Linked DNA regions of Neodiprion lecontei. The protein of the gene in region 1 interacts with the protein of each later gene in a pairwise test. Links are inferred from orthologs where the notes say so. Each region holds a gene or a part of one and is shown in the gene's direction. Other genes may lie near its edges.

Region 1 (6,898 bases):
AATGCTAAAATTCTCTTCCCAGCAAAGATTTGTAGATGCAGAGTATTTTCTTGACTTTCAGTTTTCCCAGCTCTGTGATATCACGAGCAATCCACCATTGGGTAAATGTTAAGCTTATGATTGTCTCTCAGGGTTAAATCAACATCCAGTTAGAACAATAAAAATGAAGGTAAGTAACTATTTTGGTATTTAGTCCCCTTATTTAGTAATGCACAAGCAAAAGCAAGCTAGCGTTACAATACGTAATATAAAATTCAAACCTTACTTATAATTAATCTTCTAAAAATATGTGGTCACATTATTTAATAGGTACATATTTTTAAACAACTCTCAAAGCGTATGACGGTATTTCACATAGATTACAGGCAATTTGTTGGAAAGTTCCCTCAATAGTCAAATGCAAAATTTTACGATCAGACGAATCATCATTTTTAGATAAAAATATAGAATTTTGAACATTCATTCCCCTTTAATGCCGTAAGCACCTGAAATTTGAACCCTTTATATTCGCGGAATGTCTAATATTTTCCGAATAGTTTAAGGCTCTCAAAAATGATTCTAAAAAATTCTGTGATCATTTCATGAATCCATAACTTTAAAGTAGATTGAAAACTTCGTATCCCTGCAAATAATTTGAATAGAAATGAGAAGCTCAAATTTATAATTTGCATGTGAGATACTTGCATCAGAGCCAATAATTCCAATTTCAATTGCTGCGATATTTGAGTTGCAGGACAGTATACGTGTAAACAATGAATTATCCAAGCCGAGTTCTTGTGCAGAGTGTCAAAGATCCGACATACTTAAGTGGGTCCTCCTGCGAACTTTGGAGGCTTTCGTCTTCGCTATCGTCGAGGAATGCACCACGTAAAGTTTCGCTGACAACTACAGGTTCGACATCGCTATCCGAAGAGCTTGCGTAGTCAAGGACATCACAACCACTGGCATTTATTCTATAGGCATCAATTTCAGCTGAAAAATAGAACACACCTAATGAACAACCACGAAAAAGCTGAAGCAGCGATAATGTTAAAAAAAAATTAAAGGTGTTATATCTCTAGAAAAGATGGGCCCTCACCAAAAGGATCCAGAACCTTCACCTTTCCTTCTTCTTCCTCCGTATCCTCCGCACTAGAATCTGTTGGCTTAACATAGTGGCTTAGATTAAGAAGCAGAGTTTCCGGGGTCTGCGGTGGCGAATGCCGCGATGTGGACTTGATGCGAGCTAACTGTGCCCTTCTCGCATGATCTGAACAGTACCTGAAAAGCGAAGGACCGTACAGAACTTCTCTTGTGAAGCCATTCATCGTCGTTTCAAGGTATGAAGTTGATTTCAATTTAAATAAATTCAAACTGAATAAACATTCATTGCTCCACTTACGCAAGATCTCTTCGATCACCTTTCAATGCCGGGTTCTGGCACTTACGGCCATTACTGTTGTAGACAAAACTGCATTGCTTGTAAGGTGCAGAACTATCCTCTAAAATATGTCTGGAGCAATAGGCGTAGCCCGCAAGGCTCTGTTGTTTGCATTCGTATGATCCGTAAGAACAACTTTGACTTTCAGATGAACTCTTTCCAGGTCCAATTCGGGTTGCAGTTGCGTTTGGCACACGAAACATTGCTTCTGGAAATAACGGTGAATATAAAAAATTAACCTTAAAAACCAGGTGACTACAAAAAAAATATTGAGGCTTCAGTACTAAGTTCAATTCAATTGAATTGGATCAGAGAAATTTTTGTTCCATGTTGTGATTCGGTGGAATTAGGCAAAACACATACTTTTTGGCATTGTGAGAAGTGGTGAAAGAGTGCAATTGCGCTAAACTTGCTAATAATCGAGCTCCATCAGTATGAATTCTCCGATTTTTGACGTTTCTCTACATTTGAGGAAGCATTCCTTTGACCAATATTCAACTCTATTGCCACCCGTTTTTCACAATTCGTTCGTTTTGATATTTTTTACAATGAATTGCGCGTTTGATTTTTACTTGAAGATTACCAAAAACCAAATGACGCAAGGCGCTATTCATCCGTATTCAAACTTGCCGCCATTAATATCGATCGCATAATAATGGCGGCGATGTATCGATATTATGACACTAAATGCATGTGCATGTATACTGTATTAAAATAATTTTACGTTATTGATGAATTTGAGAATGCGGGGAGAATTTTAAGGTGATGAACAGATTTATAAAATGGTATAAGTCAATTCGACGACTTCGGATGGAATTTTCGGGTCAAGTAACGCGGTCGAGAGGCGTCGACAACGGATCCGATTAACGGGTTTTGCCGTCGCCATTTTGTTACTGTCGAGATCACTGCGCAGAAGGTTCGCTGCGTACGTATGTACGGTACATACAACGTGTCGAATGTAGTATGTAATTTCCGAAAAAAGCATTAAAACAATGATATCGTTATTCGGAGACGATTGAACGGACTCGGCTCGGTTGGTACTCGATTTTACGAGGAGCAAGGCTCGGCGTGAAGCTGAAATACTCACAACGAACGGTCCCACCGCTGCGACACTGTTGACGGAGTTACAGCGAAAGAAAAACTTTTCCTCGAAGGTCAGCAACGGCCCGTCGAACAGTCTTGCTACAGTTTATACACACGGATGATAACGATGCGACAATAATAACATGCCAGACACACCGGAGACGACATCCTAACCAACAATCCTCCGCCCTCGTCAAATCGCGAAAGCACGCAGCCGACTAAGGGTCCGTTACATAACGGGATCGATCGTTGATGTTTAACAACAGGCCAAGAAGACTGCGAGGACCTCGATCGGGAGATAAACAATCTCTAAGGAGTTGGAAAGGACCAATACAACAAGGTTAGGTTAAGTGCTTCCGATACGATACAGGAGCAAATTACGTCTCCGAAGCTTCGTCCATAAAGTATTCGAACGGCCATAGACCGACGCCTCTCGTCGGCAAAATTGACTCATTGTGTGCTGCCGCGTCACTTGGCACTAAAATCCACAGTCGCGTGGCGCTAGTAACGGGGAAAACATGACCATGGTTGCGTTCCGATTTTGCTCCTGGCGCTGTCAACCATATTTTATCTCTTTTGCGCTGCAGAGTTTGTAAGTAGCTCTCTCCGTTCTAGAGAGTTTTTAGCGCCGCCAGTTAATTTCGAGACGCATCCTATGACGCGCGAGTAAGTGGCAAAAATCACATTTATTATTGCGCTGTGAAAAATTTGTCGAAAATTGATCATCACCTCGGTGAATATACGAAGTATGTACATGTGGGATTAAATTTGAAGGTGTGAATTGCTCTTCGATGGTGCTCTGAGACGATCTTGGAATCGCGGTTTTGAAACTCCATCCTTGTGGTTCGCTTACTTCCGGTTTCCGTGACGTGAAGCTATCTCCTGGCGGGTGGCGGCCGTGATCGCAACCTCGGGAACCTTGAACAACGTGAAGTGCGAAGCCGAGCCTGGGTTTCTGCGTATACGCCAGAAGTGTACATATAAATGGCGGCTGACGAAAAATGGTACTTTACGAAGGAACAATTAGCAACAACCCCGAGCAGAAGATGCGGTTTCGACGCAGATAAAGAGCTAAGTTATCGTCAGCAGGCAGCAAATTTTATACAAGATATGGGACAACGGCTTTCTGTGTATCCTTTTTTAACCTTCGCATTTACCTATCTAAAACGACGCACGCGACATTTCCGCGAATCCAGCGTGCCGCCTTATATCATCGTCTATTGAGTCGCTTCCTAGTTATTCAAAAACCTTCTTCATTTCTCCTATTTTCCTTGTCATCGTCTTCCCGTTTCCTGGACCCTCCGCGCGTTTGGCGTCCCAAACTAGTGTGAGTCAACACTTGGGAAAGTTCAATGAGTTCATATCCGTGACTAGTCGAGTCACTGCCAGAGTAAAAATAAGGTAAAGCTTTGTAAACACTGGGATTGTCGTGTTCTATAGTCTAAATTTATCGAACCAGCGATCAAACACTTGCGGAATTCCAGTTTATGGTTTATTACCACTTATCTATTCTCTGCGTTTTAACCTTCTCTGTTTTGTTTTGACTACAAACTAGCTATCTTTGTGCCGCACGTGTTACCTAAGACTGCTGTTATTTTCAAATGTGGTCTGTAAAAATACTTCGTTGTTCGCTAAACTAATCAAGAAAGTCTGTAATTTGCTCTGCGAAAAGTGTTTTTTGTTTTTCAATTTTCATCAAGGTTGTACGTTTTTTAAAACAATTTTTCTAGGACTACATACATCTTCATCGATGATTAGATCATTTTGAAACCATCCCAATTGTCAACAGTTATTTTATGATTTCCTATTCCATAAGGTTGTTGTTTTAATAAAAACCGTCAATCCTTGTTTGCGTTTGTTATGTAAGTGCAGCACGCTTTAGCAACGGTGTAACGAATAAGTCGTATTCTTTCCATTGCAAGCCACTATTCATGTTTATTACTTGCAACTAGGACGAGGTTTTAATATTATAGATGCGCTTCAACAGGTTTCCTTGCCCTTACCATTGTATTTATTCTTTAGTACCGCATAGCCAGGTTAAAGTTTTACCTACAAAAGTCCTGCTTTCCACATATTTGATCATTCTCGTGCTTTAATTTTTTATCTTATAACTTCGTCGTTGTTCCTTAGTACTTACGATCATTTTTCACATCTCACAGTCTGATGGCTATGCGTCTTGTAGCAGTTTAAATAAGCAACCTCCTTATATTCTGCACAATTGGAATTAATATTTTTTGCATAGAGTAAGTAAAAAGTTCAATGGTACTTGAAACACGATTTTCCTTAACTCAACAACTCGCATATGGGATTGCGACAAACAGATCGCAGCTATGCATAAACACAGCAATAGTCTACATGCATCGGTTCTACGTGTTTCACTCGCTAGCGCAGTTCCACAGGAACGCAATAGCAACAGCAGCCCTATTTTTGGCTGCCAAGGTAGAAGAGCAGCCGCGGAAATTGGAAGTCGTTATAAAGGTCGCATACTTCTGCCTCCACAGGGAGCAGCCTGCGCTGGACACAAAGTCAGAAGTTAGTCTTTGATCGCCTCCCATCATCTGCCGACCACGTAAATACCTCTACTTTGAAACACTGCGTTTCTTATTGCAGCAATACCTCGAACAGGCCCAAGATCTAGTTTTCAATGAGAACGTGCTGCTCCAAACCCTCGGGTTCAATGTTGCCATCGATCATCCGCATACGCATGTCGTCAGGTGCTGCCAGTTAGTCAAAGGTAACTTTTCACTGCCACAAACTTTGCAGATTAATTACTTGCAGGTGATAATTAACCTGTAAAGCATTTTCTAAATTATTATAATATCATTTTCAGCGAGCAAGGACTTGGCGCAGACTTCCTACTTCATGGCATCAAACAGGTGGCTAATGATTTATTCGTACTTTACCTCGATATAAGACGAATATAAATTATCTTTTCGTAATAAGGCCTCTCGGGCGGCGGCTCAACGGCGCAACATTCTGACCTTGGTCTTATTGCTCATTAACGATTGGAGATTTGATTTTTTAAACAATTTTTTAATTTCATATTGATTCTTTATCATTAACGATGAGTGATGAATTATTTACAACTGGAAATGATGCTACAACTGATCAATTAGTCAATACCATGTGCTACGGTAACGCGTATTTCAGAATTCCACTCATTAACACCTATTCATATTTCAATTTCAATGTCGACAGTATTATTTGGGGAAGGAACGTTGCGTTGCGGTCGCGTTTATGTCTGATTCTAAAGAAACACTTATGCCCAAAGCGAAGCCCGGTCGCGCTAATTTCGTAAGCTAAGTTGACGATGCGGATTAAACAAGTCGAAGGTAAATTGAAAAAATTTAATTAAAAAATAATTACACACTGTCGACCCCAGTTCATCCACCAAACTCTTTTTGAATCCATTCAAATTTAGTTTTCAGTCCGCCGCACATAATTCCATCCAAAAATCGCTTTGAGCTTCGAGCTTTTCACCCTTGAAGCGGTAGGTTTTTCCAAAGAAGCCTTAGAAAAATCGAACCTGCTCTGTATAACAATCTTTTCACATCGGCTATCACTACGTCCAGTTAGAATCAAGTCTTAAACAGTCTAGACTCATGAAAGACTGACAAATATCAAGTCCTGACAAAGTGCCTAATTTGGACTGTTTGCATTTTTTCTTTTCTTCTTTATAATTTATCAATCGTAGAATAGTTGATATAGTGACAATCCTTCTACGTCATATTCACCCAGTAGAATCGCAGAAAAAACTTAAAGTTTTCTGTTGAGCAATATTTCCAAAGAATTTACTCTCAAGTTATAATCCATTTGTCTAAAACGTACGTTTTCCTTTGCTTTCAGTTTGCACCTGACCACAATGTGTCTTCAGTATAAGCCGACAGTCGTTGCTTGCTTCTGCATTCACCTTGCCTGCAAATGGTCCAATTGGGAGGTAAAGGTCGAACAGCTTTCTGCGGTTTATTAAATGTTTCCCGATTTTTAGTTACAACTGTCAATTCTTCTTTATTGACACGCTTCTGAGTGGCGTATTCACTCCGAATTATTCCATCGTAGATACCGCAAAGCAACGAGGGAAAACATTGGTTTTGGTACGTTGACAGGTCGGTAACATCTGAACTGCTTCAGCAGTTGACCGCAGAGTTTCTTCACATATTCGACAAATGCCCATCGAGGCTCAAAAAGAAAATCATGAGCATATCTGCAAACCAGAGTCCAAACATGAGCCATGCCAGCTTGTCGAATTCACCTTACGTGAGTATCCCAACACACGATCAATCTTTCATGTTTGAAATAGTAGAAACAGCATCTCAGTGCGCTTCAAAATCCCGCCAAAATTTCTTTCCCATGTTTATCTTACATGTGTTGCGTTTTAATACATTTATTATTTAT
Region 2 (6,591 bases), on another chromosome or scaffold:
CTGGCGGTCCAATTAGTTAGGAAATGGTCATACAAATCGTATCTGAGACCAAAAATTTTCGGCTCCAAAAATGAAGAAAAAGTAAGGCTAACCCCTTTGCATTTTTGGCGAAAATCTTCGCGATTTTGAAAAGTGCTGGAATAAATTCTTTCGTGCACCATTCCGACGTAATTTTGCGAGAGAAATCGACTGGGCGCAGTCCCGATACGCTGCGAGCAACAGATCAAACGTTACAGCCAAAAAACCAGAACCTGTGTTTTCGACGTTTTTCAGCGGGTGCTTTTTCCTTCGGAATTTCTCTCCTGTTGATCCCACGGTCTTTTCGCTGCAGTTTCTGAGTTCCTGGCGGTCCAATTAGGCAGGAAATGGTCGTACAAATCGAATCTGAGACCAAAAATTTTCGGCTCCAAAAATGAAGAAAAAGTAAGGCTAACCCCTTTGCATTTTTGGCGAAAATCTTCGCGATTTTGAAAAGTGCTGGAATAAATTCTTTCGTGCACTATTCCGACGTAATTTTGCGAGAGAAACCGATTGGGCGCAGTCCCGATACGCTGCGAGCAACAGATAAAAAGTTAGAGCCGAAAAACGAGAACCTGTGTTTTCGACATTTTTCATCAGGTGCTTTCTCCTTCGTAATTTCTCTCCTGTTGATCCCACGCTCTTTTGGCTGCTTTTTCTGAGTTCCTGGCGGTCCAATTAGTCAGGAGAAGGTCATACAAATCGAATCTGAGACCAAAAATTTTCGGCTCCAAAAATGAAGAAAAAGTAAGGCTAACCCCTTTGCATTTTTGGCGAAAATCTTCGCGATTTTGAAAAGTGCTGGAATAAATTCTTTCGTGCACTATTCCGACGTAATTTTGCGAGAGAAATCGACTGGGCGCAGTCCCGATACGCTGCGAGCAACAGATCAAAAGTTACAGCCAAAAAACCAGAACCTGTGTTTTCGACGTTTTTCAGCGGGTGCTTTTTCCTTCGGAATTTCTCTCCTGTTGATCCCACGCTCTTTTCGCTGCGTTTTCTGAGTTCCTGGCGGTCCAATTAGTTAGGAAATGGTCATACAAATCGTATCTGAGACCAAAAATTTTCGGCTCCAAAAATGAAGAAAAAGTAAGGCTAACCCTTTGCATTTTTGGCGAAAATCTTCGCGATTTCGAAAAGTGCTGGAATAAGGTCTTTCGTGCACTATTCCGACGTAATTTTGCGAGAGAAATCGACTGGGCGCAGTCCCGATACGCTGCGAGCAACGGATCACAACTCACGGCTGAAAAATATGAAATTGACACCGGGTTATTAAAGAGGTGGAATAGAAAAATCACAAACTCATCGTTACAAAGTTTCAGTTTCAGTTTATTCAATGTGTTTTATTTCTAGTACAAGTGTTCAGGTGTCAATGTATACTACTTTACCAAGTTTAGTTAGCATAATCATAATATTGTATACTTATACATAATACTAATGATGATATATTCTACATAATATTATACCACTTATTTTTATTATTGAGGGCCAGCTTCCACAAAGTAGACACTCATTTGTTGGGCAAATGTGTAGCCATGGCATATAGTTTAGCGGGCCGCCACTGGAGTGCGCGACGAGCGGTATGTCTGTACTTTTGAAACAAATGCGAATACACGTGCCGTGTTTGATCGTACTTGTGATCAATTTGGTGGGTTGCTGTATCCTGCAATACATCATAAGTAATGACGTGGTAATGTACTGCCGTGGTAATCTTTACCACAAAAACAAGGGCAAAATACATGTTCTTCACTTAGGTTTTTCGCTAATTGAATAGACATACAATTTAATACCCATGAAGATTTTAAGTATGTAACTTCAATTTTAACAGTTGAGTGTTGTGTGTTTTCATCGAGTTTTTTTTTTATCGAAGCTGGAGAAATATGCAGTGGCTCAATGACGGATTGTACTTGGGTTATTCATGAGAATCTGAGACTGCTAATTTTTTACACTAGACCGTTATGTTGACAATGCACAGAAACCTACAACGTCATAGTCGGCCGAGCGCGAACAAACTCAATCTCAATAAACATAACATAACCCATGACCGTTGAATCTAACGTTAGAATACCGCAGGGATAATGACTTGTTCGATTGACACGTCACTGAACAAATCTTAATCGCTGATAATGTTATGAAGCGCGGAAGAGGATAGGAATTGTTGAAAAAATTAGATGACAACATCGCTAATTTTTTCAATCATTTCTTGCTTCTATTTCAGCATGTAATTCCAGAAAATATACCTGTATGTTTGAAAAATGTTTTACAGCCACAGTTCGTGGAAATCTGGAGATTAACCATCTGAAAATAATGCGAATACATGTTAGAATACATACATGTACATACTCTGATGTTCTCTTAACAAACGCAAATAATATAATTTAGTCGACTGTACCGTTTAAAACGACAGCGCAGTCTGCCGGCGAGGCCCTGAGTTATCCACCCTGGCCGCGGTTTGGAACCAAGCGCGGTAGCGTCTCTACTGGTATATGTTTTAAGGCCTCCACGGAGCGGTTCATGTTCGTTCTGATCACGGTTTAGAACGTTTAGAACCGTGGTTCTGATAGCTGTCGGATATTACTTTCAGTGGTTTACCCAAACGTAGTGACTGTAATGACCTGAGTTTTTGAAGTAAGTGAAATATTTTATCGCGCCATGAATACAAAGGAAAAGGAGAAGTACATTGAAGAATTCGATTTTCCGCACTGCGATGAATCAACGAAATATGAAAAAGTTGCTAAAATCGGCCAGGGTACTTTCGGGTACGTGATCAATTCATATGTTAACAACTCCCACTCCAAGGTTATGTTTGTTACAATCTTTGATTACTTTTTCACAGAGAAGTGTTTAAAGCAAAGGAAAAGAACAGTAACAAAAAATTCGTAGCAATGAAGAAAGTTCTTATGGACAACGAGAAAGAAGGGGTAACTATCAGAATTTTTCGTCAAGCCGCATTATTCATCTTGTAGCTTCGACCTTGTTCTCTTAGTCGTACATTTGCTTTTTTACTCGGCATGACTCCCGTAAACAATTGGAATAACTTACACTTGAGATCGTGTGCCTAAGCCCTAGATTCAACACCCTGTACCGCGTTATTGTACTGCGACTGTTAGTCATAAGCATCATTCCATTCTAACCCCAAAACCATTTACCTAATATGGTATCATTGCAGTTTCCCATTACAGCACTGAGAGAAATAAAGATATTGCAGTTACTGAAGCACGAAAATGTGGTTAATTTAATTGAAATATGCAGAACTCGAGGTATGTTCATCAGAATCGAATTGCATTGGTTGTGAGAAAACTGCAGAATACTCAGCGCCGCGCTATGATTTGTTGTTATAGCGGCTCAATACAACCGTTATCGATCGACGTTCTACCTGGTGTTCGATTTCTGCGAACATGATCTAGCAGGTCTATTATCTAATGTAAACGTCAAATTCAGCTTGGGTGAAATAAAGAAAGTCATGCAACAACTACTCAATGGCCTATACTACATTCATAGTAACAAGGTAAGTTAGATTCAACTAATGTTTCTCTGAAAATCATTTATATCTGCCGAAACTCCTAATTACGTTTTTTACATTCACAGATCTTACACCGAGATATGAAGGCTGCCAATGTTCTTATAACAAAAAACGGTATATTGAAACTCGCAGATTTTGGACTGGCGCGAGCTTTCAGTGCCAATAAAAACGGTCAAGTAAATCGGTACACAAACCGTGTTGTCACCCTCTGGTACAGGCCACCAGAGCTGTTACTGGGAGACAGAAATTACGGTCCACCAGTAGATCTATGGGGGGCGGGCTGTATTATGGCGGAAATGTGGACTAGGTAAACGATTTAAGATTTGAATTAAGTTTTTTGCTATGGCTGCTTCCAGTTTATTTTTAATGGAAGTGCATTCATATTGTCAAACTTTTATCAAATCCAGATCACCCATTATGCAAGGAAACACTGAACAACAACAGCTCACGCTAATTTCTCAACTATGTGGATCTGTGACCACCGAAGTATGGCCCGGTGTAGAAAATTTAGAGTTATTTAACAAGATGGAATTGCCCAAAGGACAAAAAAGAAAGGTACATGAATTTTATAAGAAAATTAAAACATTAATTTATCAATCGAATTTCATTGTAAGAAGAATTGCACTTGAATCAATAAATGACAAATTCATGTGTACTAGGTGAAGGAGAGACTAAAGCCGTATGTCAAGGACCCCTTTGCTTGTGACCTTTTAGACAAACTATTAATTCTCGATCCCAGCAAAAGGTATGACTCCGATTCGGCACTGAATCACGACTTTTTCTGGACCGACCCAATGCCCTGTGATCTCAGCAAAATGTTGGCGCAGCACACTCAAAGTATGTTCGAGTATTTAGCACCGCCCCGACGACCGGGTCACATGCGTCACCCGCATCACCCAGTTCCTGGAGGTCCTGCCAAACCAAGTTCGAGTATGGCGGACAGTGGTTATCAGGATCGCGTATTCTAGAATGTACATAGACGCAACAGACACTGCTACACAAATACATTATACCTAGATATAGTTAGATAGAATTTATCTAACGCTTTTCAAAAAGCGTTGCTGTATGACTGAAACGTGCGATTGCATTTCAAGAGTGTTGGACCAGTAGCGATTTATCTGGCCCAGTTCGTGTACATTAGACTGTTATACATATATTGTAATTTTTTTTAATTTAACACGTGTAATAATATACTCAAATATACATTTTCTATATCAATTAAATTACACTCATTCAATCTCCTCTGTCCTCCACTTATATGCTTCGACTTGCCGCCGATTTTTTAATACACTTTTATTTACGATTTGAATCGTCCGTTCCGTGGAAAGTAGCAAAATATGTTATTTGATGAGATGATGTTGGTTATGTATTACATTGTTCGAAGATACGAACTTTATTTATTCCAGAACAAGTGAACACGACAGTGTATATAAATTTATTGTTTATTGCACTCCTTATAAATATAATCGAACAGGAAGCGATTCTGCGCAGTTTTCATCTATATTCTGCAATAAGAGGTGTTGGTGGCTAGGTTCATGTATATTATCAAACATTTTAATATATCAAATAGTAGCTAGTTAACTATTATAAAATTAGGCATTGTAGGACTCAGGAAAAATTACAATTAAAAAGATACAACATTGAAAAAAAAATGAAAAAAATCTGACGCTGATCTCAAAATGCTATTTTCAACATCATAAGAATATATATTACTAAAAATACACATTAGTTATTAGAGATGTTGAATGACTTGTATAGTATTATAGTTTTGAAATGCAATGCAAGGGTAGTACAATTGAGAAAGATAAAGTACGAGCATTAGATCTAATCAATCGACATGGCTAAGCTGTGTGGCGCTGGGAGGTAATTGGTTCATCGTTTGAATATAGATCAAAAGATACTACAAAAACGGTTCGTTTCATTAAATCCTATCTCGGAATAACGGAATAATGTACCCTTATTTACCGAATAGGATCGCGCGGTACGTAATTGTATCCAAGATTATATAGATTTAAGATATCACTTTCTGTACGATCTATTTCGCGCAAGCCGTGTGACTTTGTGTTAGTACAGATTGGCTATAACTGTATTCTCGTGATTGGCACTACGCAAGGAACTACGTCTGGTCGTTAATAGAACAGCCTCGCTCTAATCGTGCTGTTATTAATTGATCAATTGTTTACTCAGATAACCGAACTCGATACATAATAACGTAACGATCGTTTCAATCTGCATGTAATATTCCATTGTCCCTGTTACATATTAAAGATAGCTTGCAATTATAGGTCGTCTAGCGTTGGACAATACTTATAAATGTAGTTGCAAATATGGGTAAGTATGAATCCTACATATTAATATGTACATTTTAGCTGACTCTCTCTCTCTCTCTCTCTCTCTCTATCGCTTTTTTTCTTTTTTTCTTTTTTTTCTCTTTACACTCTTTAATACTCATATACCGTATTACTATTATATTCTACATGCTTCGTGCTTCGATAAAAAATTGAAGAAGAAAAATTGATGACAATGAGGAAAAAAATTCTCCATCTCGTTTCAGTTACCGATAAATATTACAATATATAATATAATGTATAACTATAAGAATAAACCACACACACATCTGTATATACCTGTATGTTTAATACACGTATTATAAGCTAAACTCATTATGCATCACTGGATATATGTATATGCGTATAGATCTTCATATATATATATATATATATATAAAAATAATTTCACTGCGAAGTGTACAATATTTATCGGTGTACGGGTTATTAATCCCGCATACCATACAATGATATATTATGATATGCACTCACACAATCAAAAAACATGAGGTTTAAAAGAAAAAGGAAAAAAAAAAATACAAGAAACAAAAATCAAAATCTAAACTGGACATTTCTTTAAAGCGACGCGTGACGAGATGTTCAACATTCTATATCACAAGCTCTTCCCTCTTAATCGGCGATCAAGATCTTGTCGAGCGGATTCGGACCCTTCCTCATCGGTCTTTCCGTATGCGTATTCGCCGGACTATCTGCTAAAATGAA

The links.
Region 2: the proteins of cyclin-T (region 1) and cyclin-dependent kinase 9 interact in a two-hybrid assay, tested with the Drosophila melanogaster proteins (2 studies listed by BioGRID). The link is inferred for Neodiprion lecontei from reciprocal best matches to the Drosophila melanogaster genes CycT and Cdk9.

Annotation. Positions count from the first base shown.
Region 1 is NC_060264.1:32,077,979-32,084,876, forward strand, and holds the start of cyclin-T, read left to right. Parts: upstream 1-2,710; 5' UTR 2,711-2,843; intron 2,844-2,971; exon of another isoform or gene 2,972-3,169; intron 3,170-3,277; 5' UTR 3,278-3,487; coding exon 3,488-3,633; intron 3,634-4,824; coding exon 4,825-5,035; intron 5,036-5,113; coding exon 5,114-5,237; intron 5,238-5,333; coding exon 5,334-5,379; intron 5,380-5,708; exon of another isoform or gene 5,709-5,835; intron 5,836-6,349; coding exon 6,350-6,446; intron 6,447-6,562; coding exon 6,563-6,760; intron 6,761-6,898. Other genes in the region: KAT8 regulatory NSL complex subunit 2, read right to left, coding at 804-972, 1,079-1,260, 1,382-1,628, 1,784-1,793. UniProt on the Drosophila melanogaster protein: Regulatory subunit of the cyclin-dependent kinase pair (CDK9/cyclin T) complex, also called positive transcription elongation factor B (P-TEFb), which is proposed to facilitate the transition from abortive to production elongation by phosphorylating the CTD (carboxy-terminal domain) of the large subunit of RNA polymerase II (RNAP II).
Region 2 is NC_060261.1:1,240,959-1,247,549, forward strand, and holds cyclin-dependent kinase 9, read left to right. Parts: upstream 1-2,523; 5' UTR 2,524-2,670; coding exon 2,671-2,777; intron 2,778-2,854; coding exon 2,855-2,939; intron 2,940-3,187; coding exon 3,188-3,278; intron 3,279-3,359; coding exon 3,360-3,526; intron 3,527-3,606; coding exon 3,607-3,848; intron 3,849-3,948; coding exon 3,949-4,096; intron 4,097-4,200; coding exon 4,201-4,509; 3' UTR 4,510-4,759; downstream 4,760-6,591. Other genes in the region: SPARC-related modular calcium-binding protein 2, read right to left, coding at 6,499-6,581.